3 linked regions of the Elephas maximus indicus genome follow. The protein of the gene in region 1 interacts with the protein of each later gene in a biochemical or structural test. Links are inferred from orthologs where the notes say so. Each region holds a gene or a part of one and is shown in the gene's direction. Other genes may lie near its edges. The genes, in order: KEAP1, MCM3 and AMER1.

What was found.
Region 2: the proteins of KEAP1 (region 1) and MCM3 form a complex in vitro, tested with the Homo sapiens proteins (2 studies listed by BioGRID, with this or other methods). The link is inferred for Elephas maximus indicus from reciprocal best matches to the Homo sapiens genes KEAP1 and MCM3.
Region 3: the proteins of KEAP1 (region 1) and AMER1 form a complex in vitro, tested with the Homo sapiens proteins (2 studies listed by BioGRID). The link is inferred for Elephas maximus indicus from reciprocal best matches to the Homo sapiens genes KEAP1 and AMER1.

Annotation. Positions count from the first base shown.
Region 1 is NC_064821.1:28,571,424-28,579,055, reverse strand, and holds the start of KEAP1 (kelch-like ECH-associated protein 1), read left to right. Parts: upstream 1-4,547; 5' UTR 4,548-4,823; intron 4,824-5,290; exon of another isoform or gene 5,291-5,380; intron 5,381-5,766; exon of another isoform or gene 5,767-5,830; intron 5,831-6,848; 5' UTR 6,849-6,895; coding exon 6,896-7,534; intron 7,535-7,632. Other genes in the region: S1PR5 (sphingosine 1-phosphate receptor 5), read left to right, coding at 1-1,150. UniProt on the Homo sapiens protein: Substrate-specific adapter of a BCR (BTB-CUL3-RBX1) E3 ubiquitin ligase complex that regulates the response to oxidative stress by targeting NFE2L2/NRF2 for ubiquitination.
Region 2 is NC_064819.1:117,647,067-117,654,492, reverse strand, and holds the start of MCM3 (DNA replication licensing factor MCM3), read left to right. Parts: upstream 1-4,345; 5' UTR 4,346-4,546; coding exon 4,547-4,624; intron 4,625-5,728; coding exon 5,729-5,841; intron 5,842-6,268; coding exon 6,269-6,477; intron 6,478-7,180; coding exon 7,181-7,311; intron 7,312-7,426. UniProt on the Homo sapiens protein: Acts as a component of the MCM2-7 complex (MCM complex) which is the replicative helicase essential for 'once per cell cycle' DNA replication initiation and elongation in eukaryotic cells.
Region 3 is NC_064846.1:107,061,644-107,069,131, reverse strand, and holds the start of AMER1 (APC membrane recruitment protein 1), read left to right. Parts: upstream 1-4,426; 5' UTR 4,427-4,503; intron 4,504-4,933; exon of another isoform or gene 4,934-5,170; intron 5,171-7,488. UniProt on the Homo sapiens protein: Regulator of the canonical Wnt signaling pathway.

The DNA of each region.
Region 1 (7,632 bases):
CCTGCATTACAACTACACCGGCAAGCTCCGAGGCGCTCGCTACCAGCCTGGCGCGGGACTGCGCGCCGACGCCGTCGTGTGCCTGGCAGTGTGCGCGCTCATCGTGCTGGAGAACTTGGCCGTGCTGCTCGTGCTCGGGCGCCACCCTCGCTTTCACGCGCCCATGTTCCTGCTCCTGGGAAGTCTCACGCTGTCTGACCTGCTGGCAGGCGCCGCCTATGCCGCCAACATACTACTGTCCGGGCCACTTACGCTGCGTCTGTCGCCGGCGCTTTGGTTCGCGCGCGAAGGCGGCGTCTTCGTGGCGCTCGCTGCGTCCGTGCTGAGTCTCCTGGCCATCGCGCTCGAGCGCCGCTTCACCATGGCGCACCGGGGACCCGCGCCCGCCGCCCGGCGGGGGCGCACGTTGGCGCTGGCGGCCGCCGCCTGGGGCGCGTCGCTGCTCATCGGGCTGTTGCCGGGGCTCGGTTGGAACTGCCTGGGCCGCCTAGACTCCTGCTCCACAGTGCTGCCCCTCTACGCCAAGGCCTACGTGCTCTTCTGCGTGGTCGCGTTCGTCAGCATCCTGGCCGCCATCTGTGTGCTCTATGCGCGCATCTACTGCCAGGTGCGCGCTAACTCGCGGCGCCTGCGGGCGCGACCCGGGGCTAGCGGGGGCGCCTCGGACCGGGCGCGTCGCACGCCGCGCACGCTGGCGCTGCTGCGCACGCTCAGCGTGGTGCTCCTGGCCTTCGTGGCGTGCTGGGGTCCCCTCTTCCTACTGTTGCTGCTCGACGTGGCATGCCCGGCGCGCGCCTGCCCAGTGCTCCTGCAGGCTGACCCCTTCCTGGGCCTGGCCATGGCCAATTCGCTTCTGAATCCCATTATCTACACGTTCACCAACAGCGACCTGCGCCACGCGCTCCTGCGTCTCGTCTGTTGCGGCCGTCGCCCCTGTGGCCTAGGCCAGGGTGATTCCAGGCGGCCCGGGAGCGAGGCTGGGGCTTCCGGCGGCCTGCGCCAATGGCTGCCTCCCTGCACTGATGGCAGCTCCAGCCACTCTGAGCGCTCGTCGCCCCGACGGGATGGGCTGGACACCAGCGGCTCCATTGGCAGCCCCGGCGCACCCATGGGTGCCCAGACCCTGGTGCCCATGCCCACTGCAGACTGATGCCTCAGGCCCGCCATTGCCTTCCCTAAGAGCTATTTTGCAGACTTTTTTGCTTTAAATAAAGGAACCTGTAGGAAACGCAGCCAAAGACACAGGGCAGATATATTAATTGAAGTCAAACCCTATTTATTGAGTGCCTACTGTGTGCCAAGCTCTATATTAGTCACTAGGGACACAGCAGTGAACAAAACAGACTACATCTTGCCTTTGTGGTACTGAAACTCTGGTCCAGGAAGAAATAAACGCGATAATTCCAGTAATAATACAATCATGGTGTCAGTGATGGTGGTCACCTGAACAAAGGGCACTTCAGGAGGAAGGAATTGCAGGTGCAAAGGCCCTGAGGCTGTTGTGTTCAATGAAAAGCAAGGATCCTGGTGTGTCTGACAGAGAGTTGGTGGGGGAGTGCAGGAGGAGGCAAGGGAACAGATTGTGTAGGGTCTTGTGGGGGAAGGGGAGGACTTTGGTTTTGCTCTAAATGAGATGGCAACCATGGAGGGTTCTGAACAGAGGAGCCAGGTGACCTCGCTCGGGTGTTCACAGGCTCCCTCTGGCCACTGTGGAGACAGGCTGTGGGGAATGAGGTGATGGTGCTGGCCCAGGAAAGCCATGATAGGAACACCAACCAGGCTCAGACCAAGCGGTTACCGTACAGATTTTGGAGGCAGTGAACAAAATTACCAAGGAATTGGGTATGGGGTGAAGGAAAGAAAGAAATCAAGGATGACTCCCCACTTTAGAGGCAAGGAAGCCAGGGACAGGGCACCCCAAAATTTGAGAGATTCAGCCAAATCCTGTCTGAGCACAAAATTTTCTTGAGTGCAGTGTCGATCCCTCATTATAAAAAAAATAATAATAAATTTAAAGTTAATAACATTTACAGTTTATTGACGGCACTGGGCTTTTTGGTTTAGTCGCCTTAACAAATCCTAGGCTGAGGACACACATTTGGTTTTTTTCTCACCCTTACAGCAACTTTGCAAGGTAGATTTTGTCACCTCCATTTGACAGATGAGGAAACTGAGGCTCCAAGCAGTGAGCACCTTGCTGCAGTGTTTTCAGCCGGGATTCCAGCCCAGGCAGTCAGGCTCCCAGGCCCAGGGGGCCTCAGGTCTAGCGTCTGGCTCCTCCCGACGATTCCAACCGACACTCCCAAACCCCAGGGGTCTGCATTCTCAGCCAGGGGTGCTACCAGGCCCCTTTGTGCCCATAAAAGGCTCCAGGCACGCTGGCCACAGCCCCGGCACGTCCCGAGGAGCATTCCTGACCCCTGAGTTGTCGGCGGCCGGGGGAGGGGTGGGGGGCGTCGGGTTTTCACTGTGGTGTGCCACCTGGTGGGAGGTCTCGGAACTGCAGGCAGCCAGACGGCGGTGTTTTTGCAGGGCCGGGGGCCTGTCCTGGGGACCGTCTCCGCGGGCCATACCTGGGCCGCCCCTGAAGGTTACACGCCTGAGAAACCAACCTGTTTCTTGAAATATACATACACAAGCTTGGGGGTCACAGTCCCAGGACGCTTCTGGGATTGGACCCAATTCCACCCTTGCCCTAGTGCCCCTAGTCCGGACGCTCTTCTAAACTTCCAAGGGAGTCTGGGGCCTTCCCAGACATTTCACCCCATTGTTCGATGGCGAGATGGTAGGGGACTTATTGAATTGTTTACATCTCACAAAATTGAAAAACAAACAAAAAAAACACCCATTTCCCTTTCCTGGATTCGATCTTGGGAAACTTCCAGAGCTGTCTGTGAATAAATAAGCTGAAAGGAGTTTTGATCATGTAATAATAGGTCTTGGAGATTGTTGCACGTATGCACATTTTATTCTGCTTTGTTCTTATATCTTTTTTTTTTTTCAGTTAAACATTCATAGAGTAAATGTCTAAATGTCTTGCTCCTTTTAACCGATTGCATAGTATTTCACAGCATGGCTGTAAAAGAAAAGCTGTGCCCATCACTTATTAAGCCACGTCCCCATGGAGTGACATTTGGGTTGAGTCCAATCCACACTATACACAGGGCTGCAATAAACCTCCCTGGACATAAATCCTCCTGCACGCGTATCAGTGTATCTTGGATAAATCCCTACGAATGGCACTGCTGGGTCACAGGGCGTGAAGGTTTGATTTATAGATAGGCAAGGTTGCCTTGGGGCACGTGCGAGGAGGGTGCGTGTTTCCCCACAGCCTGGGCACTCAGCGTATTCGCCGACTATGAAACAGCGCTCCCCACCCCCGCCGCCCCGGAGAGGATAGGGACTGTAGTTTCACGCAAAGGGGTTGGGGGGGAAACCCCACACCAATTTCGGGCACCAGTTTAATTTCAGATCCTGGTGGCTTACGGAATCCTTTCGTAGACCAACAGCTCTTCATTTCAGCGTCTCCCCAAACTTCATCCCCTTCTATTACTTAGTTTTCATTTAGATGGACTCCTTTTAAACTAAACTTAAACACATTTATTTAAAAGTTAACTTTGTATCATAAACGGTGCAAATGGCTGTTTCAATTATCTAGTGCTGCTATAACAGAAATAGCACAGTGGGTGTCTTTAACAAACAGAAATTAATTTTCTCACAGTTTAGGAGGCTAGGAGTCCAAATTCAGGGTGCCGGCTCTTGGAAACCCTGGTGGCCTAGTGGTTAAGTGCTACAGTGCTAACCAAAGGGTTGGCAGTTCGAATCCTCCAGTCGCTCCTAGGAAACTCTATGGGGCAGCTCTACCCTGTCCTATAGGGTCACTGTAAGTCTGAATCTACTCGACGGCACTGGGTTTGGTTTGCTTTGGCTCTAGGGGAAGGCTTTCTCTCTGTGTAGGCTCTGGAAGAAGGTCTTCGTCTTTTCTGAGCTTCCTGGGTGATCTTCATGTAGCTTGGCATCTCTCTTTCCTTTTCTGCTTGGTTGTTTAATATCTCAAAAGAGACTGACTCAAGACACACTCTACACTAATCCTGCTCATTAACATAACAAAGACAACCCATTCCCAAATGGGTTATAACCGCTAGCATAAGAGGTTAAGCTTTGCAACACATATTTTTGGAGGACACAATTCAATCCGTGATAGTGGCAAATCAGTATCCCTTGTCATGAAAAATAATTGTTCATATCTATTGGGCGCTCGCCTTCGCATTTAGTCCTTACAACAACCTAGCCGGTAAAAGGTCCTATTATTTTACCATTTTACAGGCAGGAAACTAAGAGCTGCGGGAGGCAGAGCCGGGGTTCGAACTCCGGCAGGTGAGCTTCACGCGTCTCTTAATCAGAGGTAATAAATAAAGACAACAAAATCCCAACTATGCAGGTAATTCTGGCGGGATCCTGCGTGCGCCAGAATGCGAGGCCTGTGCCGTGTGCAGTTACAGGGAGAGGAGCAGGTCGCGGACAGCAACCCTGCGCTGGGACGCTCTGGCCACGAACTCAGGATGGAGCAACAGCGCTCAGGGGGAATGGTCCCGGCGGGCCCGGAGCCCCGCTGGCCTCGGATGGGCGCCCCGCACCTGAGGGAAGGGCGGGGAATCGCGGCTCCTTCCCCACCGCGCCCTCCCCACCCTCTCCCCGCCTCCTTCCCGGGCGTCCCGAGGCTGCCCCCCACGCGACGGCGGCGACCCCGCAGGCTGCGCCGCCCCGGATCGGAGGCCCTGCGACGGCGGAGGCGCCAGCGGATCCCCGACGGCGGAGGTCAGGTAGGAGCCGCCGCGGCCCGGCCGCTGCCCTTCAGGCTTCCCGGAAGGGCCGCGCGCGCGCGGGTGGCACCGCCGTGCCCCGAGCCGCCGCGGTGACTCAGGCATCCCCACCGTCAGCGAGAGCTACGGAGGCGACGAGGAGGCCGAGATGAGCGCGGCGGCAGCGGCGGGGAGCGGTGGCCACCGGGTCCCCGGTGCGGGTTGGGGAACGCCGGGCCTCGAACTACCGGGTGTAATCCTCGCGGCTCCGGCCGCGCGGGTGGGGGCCCCCGCAGAGGACCGGTCCCCGGCCGCGCGCACGGTAATGGCCGTCTCTGTGGTGGCCTCACAGGGGCGGTGCAGCTTGGCGACCGCGGGCGGGGGCGGGAGGTGGCCGCTCTCGCGTTCCCGCGGCGCCGCCAGAGGCCCGGGCCGCGGGGACTTTTATTCTGACACGGCGGGCCCCGGCTCTGCTTAGTCATGGTGACCTGCGCGCTCCGCGCCTCCCCCCGCCGCGCGGCGATGGAGGCGCCGGGGCCCCGGCGGCGGAGGCGGAGCCCGAGCGCGGCCATGGCGGGGTGAGTGAGGCGACCTGTGCCCGGGCTGCGGGCACCGCGGGCCGCGAGCGCCCGAGCGACCGTGCCTGAGGAGCGGGGAGCGGGGCGTCGCAGGCCAGGGCGCCTCGGGGTTCCCCGCGGCCTGGAACGGCCAGGAGACGGGTCCGGGGTCCGATCCTTTTGTTGGACTGCACGACCCTTGGGTTGGCCCGAGAGGAAAGAAAACAGGGCGGGAGGCTCAGGGAGCGCCGATCGCACGGAGGCGCGGGGACCCCGAGGCGTTGGGGGGACCCGTTCCATCCTCTGGGGCTGGCAGGCGAGAGGCCGCGGCGGGGTCACTTCCTGCCTTCTCCAAGTCTTGGTGGCGGCCCATGCGGGGCATGCGCAGTCCGCACTGGGCGCTTCGTTGGGGGAGTGCCCGGTGGCCAGGGGGCACCAGTGATCGATTGGCCGAAGGTGGAGAGGCAGTCGGTACGGGAGAGGGAGCCAAGCTGCGCCCTGGGTCCGGGTGGAAGAGGGCGCAGTGGGGTGGGCAGGCAGCCAGACGGCCCCGTGTTTACTGAGCCCTGCGCAGTGTCAGGCCCGGGGCAGGACGTGGGGGTGGCACGGCGGGGGAAGGCACAGCAGTGATCTAGACAGGGGCCCCCCCGGCCTGCCGGAGCGCTGAGGCTGTGTGTGAGAAGGATGGCCAATTCCTCAACAACAAGCCATGGAGATCCTTTCAGTTCCTGACAAGTGCTGTGATGAAAATGCATGAGGGAGGTGGTGACTGCATTTCAATGAGGAGGAGAACCTAGCCGCCCCTTGCAGATTCACCCCCCACCCTCCAGGCCAGCTAGTGTGGAAACCTTTCAAAACACATCGCAGACCTGGCCCTCTGCGACCTTGGGCTTTATGCAAGCCCAGCTCCTTGTCTCCCACCATACTCTCAGCAGCTTTACTCCTCCTCCTGGATTCTCCAGGTTTCCGCTCCAGCCTTACTGATTTTATTTATGGTCCTTTCCTCCCCTAATGTCAGCTCCACAGAGGGCAGGGGGTTTTGTCTGTCTTGCCCACTGCTGTGTCCCCAGTGCCTAGAACAGTACCTGGCACACAGTAGGCACTCAATAAGTGTTTGTGAGGTGAATAAAGGAATGATCTTGGCGTGCTGTAGGAAGGGCATGCTCCAGATGGCTGGGACAGAGAGAGCAAAGGGAAGAGGCTGCAGGGGCTGACCGGGCCTCTGAGGAGTTCGGTTTCATTCTTAGTGTCTTGGGGAGTTGTCAGAGGATTCTGAGCAGGGGAGGGACATGGCCTGACCTAGGTTTTAAGATGGGCCCTTGGGCTGGTAAGGCTGGGGACAATTAGGAAGCTGGAATGAATGCTGCTCTATCTGGTTCCCTCGGGAAGGAAAGCTGATCTGAGAATGGCTTTATCTTACAAAAGGAGGCCTGGCCGGTGCTGGCCCAGCCCCAGGCCCTGCCCCCAGCCCTGTGCTCTCCTCCTCCAGGGCCCTGAGTGCCAGTGGTGGTGTTGTCCCTCATCGCCAGGAGCCTCATGCAGCTGGAACCCAAGCCTAGCAGGGCTGGGGCCCACAGCCGATTCCTGCCCCTGCAGTCGCAGTGCCCCGAGGGGGCAGGGGACGCAGTGATGTATGCCTCTACCGAGTGTAAGGCCGAGGTGACGCCCTCCCAGCATGGCAACCGCACCTTCAGCTACACACTGGAGGACCACACCAAACAGGCCTTCGGGATCATGAACGAGCTGCGGCTCAGCCAGCAGCTCTGTGACGTCACCCTGCAGGTCAAGTATGAGGATGCGCCAGCTGCCCAGTTCATGGCCCACAAGGTGGTGCTGGCCTCATCCAGCCCTGTCTTTAAGGCCATGTTCACCAACGGGCTGCGGGAGCAGGGCATGGAGGTGGTATCCATCGAGGGCATCCACCCCAAGGTCATGGAGCGCCTCATTGAGTTCGCCTACACGGCTTCCATCTCCATGGGCGAGAAATGTGTGCTCCACGTCATGAACGGCGCTGTCATGTACCAGATTGACAGCGTCGTCCGTGCCTGCAGTGACTTCCTGGTGCAGCAGCTGGACCCCAGCAACGCCATCGGCATTGCCAACTTCGCTGAGCAGATCGGCTGTGCTGAGCTGCACCAGCGCGCCCGCGAGTACATCTACATGCATTTCGGGGAGGTGAGCGTGGAGGAAGGTGCCTGGAATCAAGGCTGGGGCAATGGCAGGGAGGGACCAGGGAGAGGAGGACAGGAGGTCATCATGTCCCTTTTGGGATG
Region 2 (7,426 bases), on another chromosome or scaffold:
TGAAGTTTCGGGCTAGAAATCAGGATATCAACATACTGTAATACGACTCCTTTAGGTAATTCTAACTCTCGTAAGTCTCTTCTCAGTGCTTCCCCAAACAGATCAGGGGCATTTTAAACCCTTGGGACAGCACAGTCCAACAGAACTGAGCCCTTGTCCTGTATCTGGGTCCTCCCATTCAAAGGCAAAGATTTCCTGGGATGATGCCTCCAGGGGAATGCAATAGAAGGCATCCTTTAAATCCAGCCCCGTAAACCAGGCATTATCTCCCAGAAGTGCAGTTAGTAGAGTATATGGGTTTGGTACTACTGGATGGATATCTTCCATAAACTGATGAATGGGCGTGAAGTCTTGAACAAACTGGTATTCACCTGTGCCCAGCTTCTTAACCAGGAATATGGGAGTGTTATAGAGCGACTGGCAAGAGCAGATTAGTCCGTGTTGGAGGAAAGTCTCTATTAAAGAGTTTTATGCCCATTCTGGCTTCCTGCTCCACAGGATATTGTTTCAGGTGGGGTATAGTGCAATTTGATTTTAGCTTTACCTTGACTGGGTTGGCTGTTATCACCGTCCAGGGACTCCAGTAGCCCACACCTCTGGGTTTAGCTTCTGAAAGATCTCTTCAGGTACGAGATCTGAGCTTAGAATCAGGAGCTGCAGAAAAGTGGCCTGCAGGGCCAAGCCTGGTCTGGGTTAACTTCAACTTGGAGCCATCCAGCCGAAAAGGTAACCTGAGCATTGAGTTTGGCTAGCAAGTCACACCCTAGGAGGGGGATGGGCATTCAGGCACATATAAGCAGCTGTGAGGAGAGTTGCCTCCCCAATATGACAATCCAGAAGTTGCAGAAAAGTCTTGCTAGAGGATCTCCCGGAGACCCCAGTAATAGTCATTTCTTCTGAAAGAGGACCCAAGTGTTAATTAAGGACTGAATATGTTTCCCCAGTTGCGTTCCCACAGTGTCTTAGTCATTTAGTGCTGCCATAACAGAAATACCACAAGTGGATGGCTTTAACAAAGATAAATTTATTTTCTCACAGTCTAGTAGGTTACAAGTCCAAATTCAGGGAGTCAGGTCCAGGGGAAGGCTTTCTCTGCTGGCTCTGGAGGAAGTTCTTGTCCTCAGTCTTCCCATGGTCGAGGAGCTTCTCAAGTGCAGGGACCCCGTGTCGAAAACATGCGCTCTGCTCCTGGTGCTGCTTTCTTGGTGGTATGAGGCCCCCAACTCTCCACTTGCTTCCCTTTCATCTCTTGAGATAAAAGGTGGTGCAGGCCACACCCCAGGGAAACTCCCTTTACCTTGGATCAGGGAGTGACCTGAGTGAGGGTGGTGTTACAATCCCACCCTAATCCTTTTAACATAAAATTACAATCACAAAATGCAGGACAGTCACACAATACTGGGAATCATGCCTAACCCAGTTGACACATATTTTTTTGGGGACACAAATCAATCAGTTGTAGCCACCCGGAATTCTTGTGGGAGATAGGAACGTGCCCGGTAGGCAACAGAGCCCCTGTGTCCCATCACTCTTGGTGACTCTTGGACAGGTGCACTATCTGATGGGCAACCTCTCGATTGGGCTCTGAAAGGCCACTGCGAGGGCGTCCAGGGAATTCTCGCTTCCAGTATCCCTCCTTTTTGCAATAGGCACCTTGTTCGGATCCCAACTTTATTGGCTGACCCATCTGCTGAGGTCCCTAAGGGGGTTTTGGCAGTGAGGGGCACTGGGAATTTACCCCTCTTGACGGGAAGTTACCCAGTGGCAGACTCCCAAGAGTGGATGCCAAGAGCACAGCCTTCTGTTTCATCCTCTGTCCTTCCCCCCCAGCATGTTCTTGGTCTTGGTTGTTGTAGACCTTAAAGGCAATCTCACCCAATTCAGAGGTGTTTTTCCCGAGTTCCCCTTGATGTTTTTGAAGGTTTCTTCTGATACCTGGGGCGCTTTGGCTGATAAAAGTCTTGTTGATCAACCTAGTGTCGGCGGGGTCTTCTCGGTCAATGTCAGAGTATTGGCAGCATGCTCTGAAGATTCTCTCCAAACAGCTGTAGGGATTTTCCTTTTCCCCCTAATTGACCTTCTGTATCTTATTCAAACTCTTTGTTTAGGCACTTCATGCTCTAGTCTGCTGCTCAAGTAATGCCTATAATGGTCAAGACAGGCCATGCCCAACCTGTCATTGGGGTCCCACCTAGGCTCTGTTATTGGAACAGCCTGGGTCACATGCTGCCTGATGTCATTTGGGGGGGGGTTCAAAGGATGAAGCTTGTCAACTTCTTACCTATCCTTTTTTCATCAGAGGTTAAAGACCGCAATCTGCCCTATTGGGGGGGATGAGTGGCAAACACAGAAGCAAAATGAGCCTCTACTTTCTTGGGGTCCTCCCCAAAAGTGGGGAAGTTATTTTTCCAACTGTGTAAGTTTGAGGTGGAGAACGGAGTGTGCATCCAAAGGAAACCCTGTGGCTGCCCAGCATAGTCCATTCCTGCTGGCGTGTGCCTTAACAGATATTGCCCTGCAGGGATAGAAGGCGGCCCCTGGCTAAATTGGGTTCCACTATGGATGTGGGCAGGGGAGACTGATTCTTGGGAAATGGCCCCAGTCCTAATGTCAGATATTGACAAAGGGGGGTACAAAGTGGCTTGAGCCTTTGGTGGCTCCACTGTTGGACTACAGCCCAGGAATGCAGAGTAGGGGGTCGGGGTCTGAGGTGTGGCGCTAGAGGTTCTGACTCTGGGGGTTAAGGTGGTGAGGCAGAAGGGGGCTGGTAGTGGACTGAAGGAGTATGGATCCCCATGGTCGTGTAAAACTTTCTTTTCAGTATCTTAGGTAGACTGAACAATTAATTTACACTGCTTCTGTAGATTCTTATTTTGATATGGAGACACAAAGACCTGCACATATGGGATCTCGTCCTACTTCTCCTCTCTTTTACAAGATAAATCTAACTGAAGGATTGTGCTGTAATTCCAAGCTCCGTGTTCCGACCCCCTCTCTCCTGAACCCAGTTAGTACTGACACCAAGCGGTGTTACAGAGAAATATCATTTACTTCTTTTTTCACAGGCTCATAACTAAGATGTGAATGATTCTTAAGAATACACCTTAGACGACTACATTCTGGAATGCTTGCGTGATTTTCATTCTGCGCGCGCGCACACACACACGCACACACAGTAACACAACACTTACGGCAAGGATTTAAAAATTAGAATCACAAAATGAAGAACAGAGCCAGAACCTGAATAGGACTCGAGTCACGTTTTGTCTATGGTCAAAAGAAACAATTAAGACCACACTGTTGAGTTTCAACAACCCAGAAATGTAATCACCGAGGTATCTAGCCAAACATCAACTTCCCAGAGAGCACACAACAGCTGCTTCTAACCCATCGCGGCTAATCTCAACAGATTTCTCAACTTATCCAAGAGACGTCTCAGACCGGACTTATTTCTGATTCTCGAAGAGTGAAGCGCCTCTGGCCGAAGACCGCCTCGGTCACACGGGAAAACTCATCCGTTCCTCCCCAACAAATGGCTCGGTGTACGCGGAGGTCTGGAGGAGAGTGCGTCCACAGTCCGAGACGATACCGGGCTCTGGGCAGGCGGGTCAGGGGGACCTCCCGGTCCCATCTGGGGTGCAAGAATTTGTCACCGAACCAAAGGCGGATCCTGGCCGGTGCGCGCAGAGTGCCACTTACTGGACATTCTCAAATTCCGATTCAGAGTGACCCTATAGGACAGAGTAGAAATGACCCATGTGGTTGCCTACGCTGTAATTTTTACAGGAACAGAACACCAGGTCTTTTCTCGTCCGGAGCCGCTGCTGGATTCCAACTGCCAACCTGCTGGTTAGCAGAAGAGAGCTTAACCATTCACTCGACTCTTTATCATGCAAAGCCCATAGACTAATTCAAATGGCTGGTTGAGTATGGTCGCTCTGGGGCAGGTTGGTGAACCAAAAAACCAAAGCCGTCGCCCTCGAATTGATGCCAACTCATAGCGACGCCATAGGACAGAACAGAACTGCTCCACAGGGTTTCCAAGGAGCAGGTGGTGGATTGAAACTGCCGACATTTTGGTTAGCAACCACGCTCTGAACCACGAACCACAGCCTGCAAAACGTTCGCGAGAGAGCAGAGGACCAAGCCTCCCAGAATGCAGCGCTTCCCCACTTCCCGGACCGCCCCCTCCAGCAGCCCAATTACCAGACTCCGAGACCTCCTCTCGGCTCCATTGGTCGGCTTTCCTGGCCGTGAGGACCCAGCGGGGAGGGGGAGAAACCAAGAGAGCCCGCCCCGGGTGTCCCATTTCCCGCCACCGCCAGGCGCCGTAAGGACAGCCTAAAGAAGGAGGAGCTCCCGATTGGATACGCGCTATTCCTGTGTAAGAAGATCTAGCCAATCAGAAAGTGCATTTGCTCGCAGTGTTTCCTCCCTTTCCTTCACGTAACCTTTGGTGGCGGGAAAAGTTCGGAAGTTTTCGCGCCGGGGAGGAGTCATTCAAGGACCACCCGAAAGACTTTTTAGCAGTTTCGAGGTCACGAGCATGGCTGGGACTGTGGTGTTGGACGATGTGGAGCTGCGGGAGGCTCAGAGAGATTACCTGGACTTCTTGGATGACGAGGTGAGGAAGGTGCAGGGTCGCGAGGCTCTGGCGCTTGGAGCCCCAGGGGACTGGGCGGCCGGGGGAGAAAGCGGGTGACGCTGCTCCTTTTCCGAGCAGGGACAGGGCCTGGCAGTAAGACCTCCAGGCGCTATGCTGGTGCCCGAGCCTGGCTGCTGGTCCGGAGCCCCGCGGGCGCAGGACCCTTCCACCCCAGTCTTGTAGTTTTTCTTGTAGCGGAGTCAGTCGTTAGCTGGCTTTATATAGGTGAGCCTTTAGAAAACTTTCTCCTAAATACAAGTGATGAACGGGTCACACGAAAGGCGACGAGTTCCCTTGAGTGCAAACAAAAGGGCAAAGCCCACCTTGGTCTTTTCGAAATCACTCCCGGCTCTGTTTTGGGAGAAGGTAGGGTAGGAACTGTTTTAGGGCGGTGTTGACTTACAGCGTTGTAGGGTCCCCAGATATTTAGTAACTGACTTGATACTGTTCAGGAGACAGACTTCTAATTTGGATGCATTCTTTTCCAATACCGGATAAGATGCAGAAAAAGAGGGTTTTGTATGCAGATAAAGGGAGTTTTACGTACAACCCAAGACTAAAATGTTGATAAAGCACCTTGAAAGAGGCTGTATCTGTAATCAAATAGCTAAGCTCTCCTTTAGTCTGGCTTTGAGAGCTCTTTCATATATATTACGTACATACATGATGGGGAAATAATAATACCTTAGTTCTGTACATAGCTTTTAAATGAAAAGGCATTTTAATAAGTGCCTGTTGGGTTTACAATCTAACAAGGTTTCATCTTTCTTTTAGATTTAATATGCACTCGTTTTAATTCCACACTAGAGACTGAGAAATGACAACATACAGAAACATTTTAGCAAGCTGTTGATGATAATAGAAATAATAAGTTGGGTCATTATTTTTGAGGAAGTCATAATTCCTACAGTATCCCCAGAAGATATATTCAGAGTCTGAGGCCGGAGAGTGAAAATGTGGCAGAAATTGATGAATGGATGCTTGGGGTTCAGTTCTGCCTTAGAGGTAGCTTTATTTATCTTGCTGTGACAGCTGCCTCTGTTTAAAAACATCCTGTTTTTTAATCTGGTGCCTATTTTGCAGGAAGACCAGGGACTTTATCAAAGCAAAGTGCGGGAGCTGATCAGTGACAACCAATGCCGGCTGATTGTCAATGTGAATGACCTGCGCAGGAAAAATGAGAAGAGGGCTAACCGGTGAGATGCAAAGGTTCCCAAGGGGAAGGCCTGGCTCTGAGTGAACCAGCTTCCTTCCCTCTTCTCCAGATTGTAATAGGCATCCCAGGAGAGGACGTGGATCAAACATGATTGACCTAGAAGCCCTCGTTGCCTCTCCTGCTCCTTTGTTTTTCTTTCAAAAGTAGTTGGTGGACATTTCCTCCCAAGGGCCTCTTTTTCCAGTATTTTAATTAGGTATCATTTCTACATCTTTCATAAATGAGTTAAAGTGGGCCCTCAGTTCTGATGGGTTTTACTGAGTTTTGTAGAATGGTAGGAGAAAGTAGGAACTGGATTTTCACTCCTTGGCCTTGATGATCTAAGAATGTCCACTTCTGTTTGCAGGGTCACTTTTTTGGAATTTTGGCCTCTCTGCCTAATTATTTTTATTCTTGCTCATATGCAGCCTCCTGAGCAATGCCTTTGAAGAACTGGTTGCCTTCCAGCGGGCCTTAAAGGATTTTGTGGCCTCCATTGATGCTACCTACGCCAAGCAGTATGAGGAGTTCTACATAGGATTGGAGGGCAGTTTTGGCTCTAAGCATGTCTCCCCGCGAACTCTCACCTCCTGCTTCCTCAGTTGTGTAGTCTGTGTGGAGGGCATTATCACTAAATGTGAGTGGGTTAGAGGTGGGGACTAGGGGAATAAAAGTAGATAAACAGGAGAGGTGGAATACAGCTGGATAGCTTGTGGTTTTAGAAAGGTGAAGGATTGAAGTTATGGGGTGAACTGGGAGAAGCTCAGAGTGCAGAGTGATTAGAATAACCTTGAGTGACTACCTGTGCTAACAGAATGGTAAGTTCTGCTGAGAACTGGAGAAGAGCGTGGCTTTTGGCATTTTCCTCATTCCAACCCTGAATTCTTAGAATTTCTTAGTTGGAATCAGTCGTTCTTGAATTTTACATAGATATGGTGATATTTGGAGCCCTCGTGGCGAGTTCTGTGTATAGATGTAAACATGAATAACTGACAGGAGTCCCTGGGTGGTGCAAACGGTTAACACGCTCAGCAGCTATCTGAAAGGTTGGAAGTTTGCATCCACCCAGAAGCTACTTGGAAGAAAGGCCTGGCAATCTACTTCTGAAGGATCAGCTATTGAAACCCTGTGGAGTACAGTTCTGCTCTGACGCACATGGGATCACCCTAAGTCAGAACTGACTCCACAGCAGCTGGTTTGATTTTGGCTTGGTATGTATTCAAATAGCTTAAACTAGTTGGAAGAAGACAGTATTTGGAGTCCTTGTAGGCTTACCTGAATGTAGGTCCTTCTATCACTGTCCACTTGGATGACTTCAGATGCATGTTTTTCATTCCTAGGCTCTCTAGTTCGACCCAAAGTTGTCCGCAGTGTCCACTATTGTCCTGCCACCAAGAAGACCATAGAGCGACGTTATTCTGATCTCACCACCTTGGTGGCCTTTCCTTCCAGCTCTGTCTATCCCACTAAGGTGAGGGGAATATAGTGATTGGGCCTCGTTGGGGGCTGGAGTCAAAGATGTCTGTTTTCATGCAAGTTAATTGGGTAATATCTGAAGTCATTCTTCTAGAACTAGATAGGGTGAA
Region 3 (7,488 bases), on another chromosome or scaffold:
TTCCTCTTACCCTACACCTATAATCAACCCCAACCATCCAGAATCCCAGCTCTTGCCCAATTCACCATATACTCTCACAGGGCTGGGATTTGGCTAGGCCAGAATTCCTTCCCCTACTTTTCTCACTTGACACAATCCTCAAAGCCATCCTCCATGAAACCTTTTTCTGATGCCCCTCCCCATCCTGAGGAAAAGGAATACCTTCATCCACAATGCTCCAGAGCACACACACCTGAGACTAGGGAATGTCAGGACCACAAAGAAGGCATCCAGCTGGGAAGCCTCTTCAGCATTTTGAATATCTCTTTCATTTCCCTGAAGCCTTATTGCTTTTGGGCCCACCCTAATGTCTGTCAGTTCCAAAGGACTGGTGTGACAGAATGTTTAGCAGCTGGGCAGAAAGCATGGAAGACTACCTCCTATGACAAAAGCAGCATGACAGTGCGCCCTTGCTCACGGATATTTGGAGTCCACCACCTGACTACTTTGCATATATCTTCTCTCTGTTTCCATGGTTGAGACTGCCCTAGCCCATTGTTGCCCTGGACTCCACATTTAGGAATTGCTTTTCCAAATTGTTATCTTTGGCCTACTTTAGAAAACCAAAGTTCTGGATGAAATGTGAGCAGGTGGCAGACCCAAAGGCACAAGGCAGCTGAAAAGCCTATGAATGAAGTGCTGGGAAAGAAGACACCTCCAGATCAGGCCTGACAAGTGACAATTAGGATTTTGTAAAGCAAGAAAGTATAGCTCCAGCCCTCCAGATGGGGAAACATGCTGGGGAGGAGAAGAAATTTGACCAATAAAGACACACAATGAGCTAGTGGCAGCCTCACCACCTCACCCACCATTTGTATAGACCAGGGACTAGACTAGGAGATCTGACGTCCAAATTCCTTTTAATTTTTTTAAATAATATTTTATTGTGTTTTTGATGAAGGTTTATACAGCAGTTTAGGTTCCTATTCAACAATTTCTACACAAATTATACAGTGACATTGGTTACATTCTTCACAATGGCATGAACATTCTCATTATTTCTGTTCTAGTTGTCCTGTTTCCATTAATCTGGTTTCCCTGCCCCTTTACATTCTCATTTATGTTTTAAAGTGATTATCGACATTTGGTCTCATATAGGTGATTTTTAAAAGAAGCACATGGTTATGGGTGATATTCATTATTTTGGGAGCCCATGTGTTATTTAGCTAAAAGTTGACCTTAGGAGTTAGTTTTGGTTTAAGGTTTGAAGACTATCTGAGAATCTTCCAGTCTCAACTAGTCCAATAAATGTGTATTTTTTTTTTTTTTTTAGGAATTTGAGATTCTGTTCCACATTTTTCTCCCACCCTATCAGGATCCATGTATTGTGACCTTGATTAGAAATGTCGGTAGAGGTAGCTGGGCACTATCTAGTTCTTCTGGTCTCAGGGTACATCTCCTCCAACACTTGAGACCATGGTTCGAGTAGACTATTTGTCCTGTAGACTAGTTTTTTCTTTGTCTTTGGTTTTCTTCTTTCTCTTTTGCTCCGGACAAGTAGGGACCAGTAGTTGTATCTTAGATAGCCATTTGCAAACTTTTAAGACCCCAGAAACTACTCACCTAACTAGAATGTAGAACATAACTTTTATGAACTATATTATGCCAATTGACCAAGATATCCTAATCCTTCATATCAACATCCATAACTGTGTCCCCTATGTGCTTTATTACATATATGAATATATATGCATACAGTCACATACATGCATATACATATGCATACACCTATATACACACACATATATACTCACATACACATACCTATATACATTTATGCCTATATATATTTTTTGGTTGTTGTTACTGTTGTTTCAAAATTATATATGCTATAGCAATTACCGATAGATCCTTTTTTCTTGCACATTTTAGTGGCATTTTTTACCTTTCGTCAACCTGTGTGTACTTCACCCTCATTCGATGTTACTATCACCAAAAATAACAAATGTCTACCATCTAGATATGGAAACCCTGGTGGTGTAGTGGTTAAGAGCTACAGCTACTAACCAAAAGGTCAGCAGTTCAAATCCACCAGGCGCTCCTTGGAAACCCCATAGGGGCAGTTCTATTCTGTCCTATAGGGTCGTTGCGAGTCGGAATCAACTCAACAGCAATGGGTTTTTCTGTGTAGATAGTGAATCCCACTCTTCTTCCCACCCTCATCCCTGTAACCACTAATGAACATTAGTTTCTGTATATATACCTGTTCACGTCATTTCATAAAAGCGAGAACATGTAGTATTTGTTTTTTTGTGATTGACTTATTTCAATCAACATAGTGTCCTCCAGGTTCATTCATGTTTCAAGATGTTTTTGGAGCTCATTTTTCTTTATGGCTGAATAGCACACCTTTGTACGTATGTACCACATTTTACTTACCATTCATCCGTTGAAGGGCACTTAGGTTGTTTCCATGTTTTTGCTATGGTGAATAGTGCTGCGATGAACATAGGTGTGCATATGTTTACTCATGTCACTTCTATTAGATCCCTAGGGTATATACCTAGGAGTAGAATTGCTGGGTCATTTAGCTCTACCTCTAGTTTTTTGAGGACCCGCCAGACTGTTTTCTACAATGGCTGTTCCAGTTTGCATTTCCACCAGCAATGGGTGAGGGTTGCAATTTCTCCACATCTCCTCCAACACTTATTATTTGCCTTTGTTTTTTTTAATCTTAGCCATCCTAGTGGGCTTGCAATGACATCTCATTGTGGTTTTAATTTGTGTTTCTTTGATGGCTAATGAAGTTGAGTATCTTTTCATGTGTCTGTTGGCTGTTTGAATATCCTCTTTGGTGAAGTGTCTGCTCATGTCCTTTGCCCAGTTTTTGATTGGGTTATTTGTCTTTTTGTTGTTAAGTTGTAGTTTTCTATATATTTTAGATATTAGACCCTTATCAGTTATATCATTCCCAAAGATTTTTTCCCAGTCCGTAGGTTTTCTCTTTACTCTTTTGATAAAGTCTTTTGATGAACATAAGTATTTAAGCTTTATGAGGTCTCAGTTATCTATTTTGTTTTCTGTTGCTTGTGCATTTGTTGTAGTGTTTGATAATTTATCATTGAAAAAAATTAGGTCCCAAAGCTTTGCTTCCATATTTTCTTCCAAGAACTTTGTGGTTTTAGATCTAACATTTAAGTTCTTGATCCATTTTGAATTAGTTTTTGTGTATGGTGTGAGTAAGGATCTTGTTTCATTTTCCTGTTTGTGGAAATCCAGTTTTGCCATCATTTGTTGAAGAGACTATTCCTTCCCCATTGAATGGATTTGGCTCCCTTGTCAAAAATCGCTGACCATAGATGTTTGGATTTATTTCTGGATTTTCAATTCTATTCCATTTGTCTATGTTTCTATCATTAAACCAATACTGGGGTGTTTTGATTAGTAAAAATTGCTTACGTTGTTTTCGGAAGATGTATAGAATGTTATGGAAGGTCATGGGACATCACAAAATGCTATAGAAAGATTTGAGTTGAACTGTCAGATTGGGACTGGATTGAGGAGCTTGATGAGTTTTACCCCCTCCTTTGTAGAGATGGAGTGATGGACTGGCCCAGAGAGGTAAAGAGATTGGCCAAGGTCATACAGTAGTCTAAGGCAAAGCTGGAAGCTAGATCCCAGCAACCATGTTAGTTATCTTATGTTTAGCACCTGCATCATTTCAAGGCAAATGGGACATAGTAGAGCAATGGAGAACTTCTCCTGCAATGCAAAAATGGCTTTTATTGTTCTCTAATCCCTCCCCCTGCCTCAAACTCAATCCCCACTCCCTCCCACTTTGTTTCTTAGGCTCACAGAGTTTTAGGGCTGGACCTTCTGTATGTTCTTGAGCTAGTGGTAGAACTGGATTCTTTGTCACCTCAGCTCACCTGCCTCTGGAAGACACTAATGCCACTTAATGCCCTCAGGCTTGTTAGAGACCCAGGCTCAGTTGGCCCCCTGCCACATCCCAAGCACAGCAGTGGGCAAGGCAAGCACAGGACTCCACAATCTACCCTCAGCCCTCAGCCTTACCTCTGGTCTCAGCCCAGACAAGATTTTTCTCTTAATATCTAGGCTTTTCGGTGACAGATAATTACACAAAGCTAGGCTCACCGTTAAAGGGTTGATGGTCCTGTGGAGAATGTGGGGATCCCCTCATGTTCAGAGAAAAGTGGAAAATTCGGGTGAGGGTCAAACTACAGGAACAGGTAAATTCCCAGAGATGAAAAGTGAAAGCAGCTCCTGCCGCTGGCAGGCTGGGTGACCTTGGTGAAGCTCCTTCCCTTCTCTGGGCAGCACAGTCACGGGTGGGGTGAGGTTGGCCTCTATGGTCAGTAAAGGCCCTGGTGTGCCAGAGAGGCAGGTGAAGTCGGGGCGCAGGCGCTGCAGCTGGTTTTTCCTGGCAGGTGAGTCAGTCTCTCCTCTGTGTGGCCTAGGCGTGAGTGCCGCGGGGCCCTACCTCTACGCCTAACGATGGGCCAGGTGAGATGCCCAGGGGCTCTGCAGTCCCCCAGCCTTCCTAGCTCCTCCGCCCCGCCTCACTCACCCGCCTCGGGCTCTGAGATTAATTGCCTGGTGGTGGCAGGGGCGCCGCAGTGCGAAGGCACAGCAGCCACGGAAATGGGAGGGCATGCAAAACTGAAACCGAGCTCCAGGGGCCCGGGGAGCCCCACTCCAGGGGCCCGTAGTGCCACCACCATGTGACCCACCCGGTTTGGGGACTGGAGTGGGGAGCCCCAGGGCTGAGTTCCCCACCCTTTCTCCCCCTGCTAACACCACGCCCGCGCTTATTTGCATTTAAAGAGAAACGTACCAAGGAAAACAGTGGGCGGGCCAGGGTCCCCCCGCCTTCCCGTCGTGGCGATTGGGCCACACTCCTGTCGATCAGGACGCGGACTTCCCACCCTGTGACTGTGACTGTGGAGTCCCGGGGGAGGGGGCATGGGGGAGCTGCCCCGAGCCTAAGGAAGGGGAGCCTGTACAGGAGGTGGCTGGGGCAGCGGTGGCGGTGGCGGAGGTGGCGGCAGCAGGAGCAGCGGAGGCAGCTGAGGCGGCGGCGGCGGCACCCTCAGCCGCAGCAGCCTAGGCTCCAGCCCCGACCAGGGTGGCGCAGCAGACAATACCGGGACTGGGAGCCAGAAAGGGCCGGGTAAGCGCTGCGCATAGCCAGGAACCTCCTTCTGCCTGCCGTCCGGTGCAGTCCTGCGTACTCCGCTCAAGCCGCCCGGAGAGGGGAACCAAGGGGTGGGCCGATCGGTGTCTGGGCCGCTTGCTGCTCCCCTTGGACCCTGCTTTGCTGACTGTCCGGTGAGGGACTGAGAGGCCGCGCGTCCCCAGGGCGCAGGCGATTGCAGCTGGTAGTGGGGAAGCAGCAGGGGGAGGAGGCAAGCAGACTGGCGGGCTAGCATGGACCATGCCTCTGGGCTCTCGGGAGACTCGAACCTGGGGCTGCACGTGCTGCTGCGCGGTCCCGGGAGTGGCTCCACCGGCCAGCACCACCAGCTGTGCATTTGTAGGCCGGGAGCTCCGCAGCTTTGTTGTAACTGATTTGCTGGAACAGCTGGGTTACACGAGTATCGCTCGACAGCCTGGAGGCCCTGCTGCCACTTCTCCCCTCCCCTGCGCATCTCTTGCCTCTCCTTCCCTCCTGCCCACGAAACCCGCGCGCTGGCCCAGTCCGGATAAGGACTGGCTTTGGCGTGGATTGAGGGATCCACACTATCTGAGTCCCTGTGAGGAGGATCTCAGTTGGGCCTGTGGGCTGATCACTTCCCTTCGGAACCTCGGTCTTGCTGCCCCAAACAGCCGCGCCCCCTCCTCCTGGGTTCCAGGGCGCATCTGGCTCCTGACACCTCCGGCAGGAGGGTTGGCAGCGAAGCTGTCGCTGGTTCCTCAGTTAGAGCTGCAGCTCAAGCTTGTCCTTGGGTTAGCGCTCCAAGGCCGCTTTGTCTCCCCCCTTGCCTTGCCTCCTCTCCCATTAGAGGGCACTGACCGCTTTTTCCTCTCCAGCCTCCTGTTTAAAAATAGAGATAGACACGGTGCTGTGTGTGTGTGTGTGTGTGTGCGCGCGCACGTGTGGGGTTCCGATCCAGCGGCTGAAGGGGCAGGCATTGCAGTAGGGAACGCACCGCCTGGGTGTACATGAGAGCCAAACCCTCCAACTTCACAGTAACTTAAAATACCCAGGTCGTTGGGCCAGTCATTGTCTATACTGCAGACACCTCTTTTTGTTGCCTGCCTCTTGCAACCAATGATGACCTCTTCCTTCCCAGAACTCCTTCAGGAGTCCCCCTATATCCTGGGCATTTTAAGGCTTAAGTTATAACAAACCAAAAAAAAACACAAAAAACCCAATAGGAGGCCAATTATTTAGTTTCCCTGCTTCTGGTTTGTCTCCTCCATATCATGAATGTCTATGTTCTCTCAAAATCCCTCAGAGGGACAGATGAAACCTGGGACATCAGTCACAACCCGCTCAAAGCCTAGCAGTGCCAAGTTGTTAATGCTCTGGAAGGACTGGATGTTTTTGCAGAGCTTTGGAGAAACCTTTACTGCTCCAACTTGCACTTACGGTGATCTACATGAAAGTGACTAGAGAAATGGTACTCAAGGCTCAGATATTAACTGAGTAGTCCTAATGAGGATGAAGAAGGGGGACGGGTTGGAACTACAAGGAAAATAAATAAATCATGATGTGTCTCTTCAGCAACAAGCTCAGGATCTGGGCTGTCCCCACCCCAGACTACACATATCTTTGATTTGCTGATTCATTAGCCCAGAGGCCTACTAACCTGGAGAGAAATGAGAGACTTGTTAATGGGGAGGTGGTCATCCTGGGATGCTTCCAGACAGTAGAGGAGTTTGGCTAGGGAAAGAATTTAATGTCATAAGCAAAAAGAGGTCCACATTAGGAATGAGAGAGGCGTGGCTGGCAGGCAGCCTGAGGTGACTGAGTTGATTCTGGTTGAATGGTATAGCTCCTAGATAAAGAGTAGTTTGGGGCCCAGTGGTGGGGGCTCCCAAACACCAGGCAGCAGAATGCAGATCTAATCCTATTGGGGTAAGGGGACACTGAAGAGTGAGGGGTTGTGGAATTTTGTTTTTTTTTGTGTGTGTGTGTGTATAAATGCATCATGATAAAAACTGGTTTTAGAATGGGATTGGAAGCATGGCACAAGTAAGGCAGATAAGATGCCACCTCTGGATCTGGCAGTAGAGCTATCTCCAGAGGAAGGTGGCATAATGTCAACTACCCTTTGGCCTTGTGTGGGGCATGGGGTGGGGGGACCTTGAGCCTAAACACCAATATGGTGAGGGCTGAGAAGAATCCCCCTGGTCTCTGCTGAGCTCCTTCTTCCCAGCTGGACAGGCCTTTAAGGAACACCAGTTTGGACCACTGTGCTTACAGAATGGAAACCTGAGCCCTGGAAAGGAACAGGGGCTTATTTATGGTCACACAGCTACTTA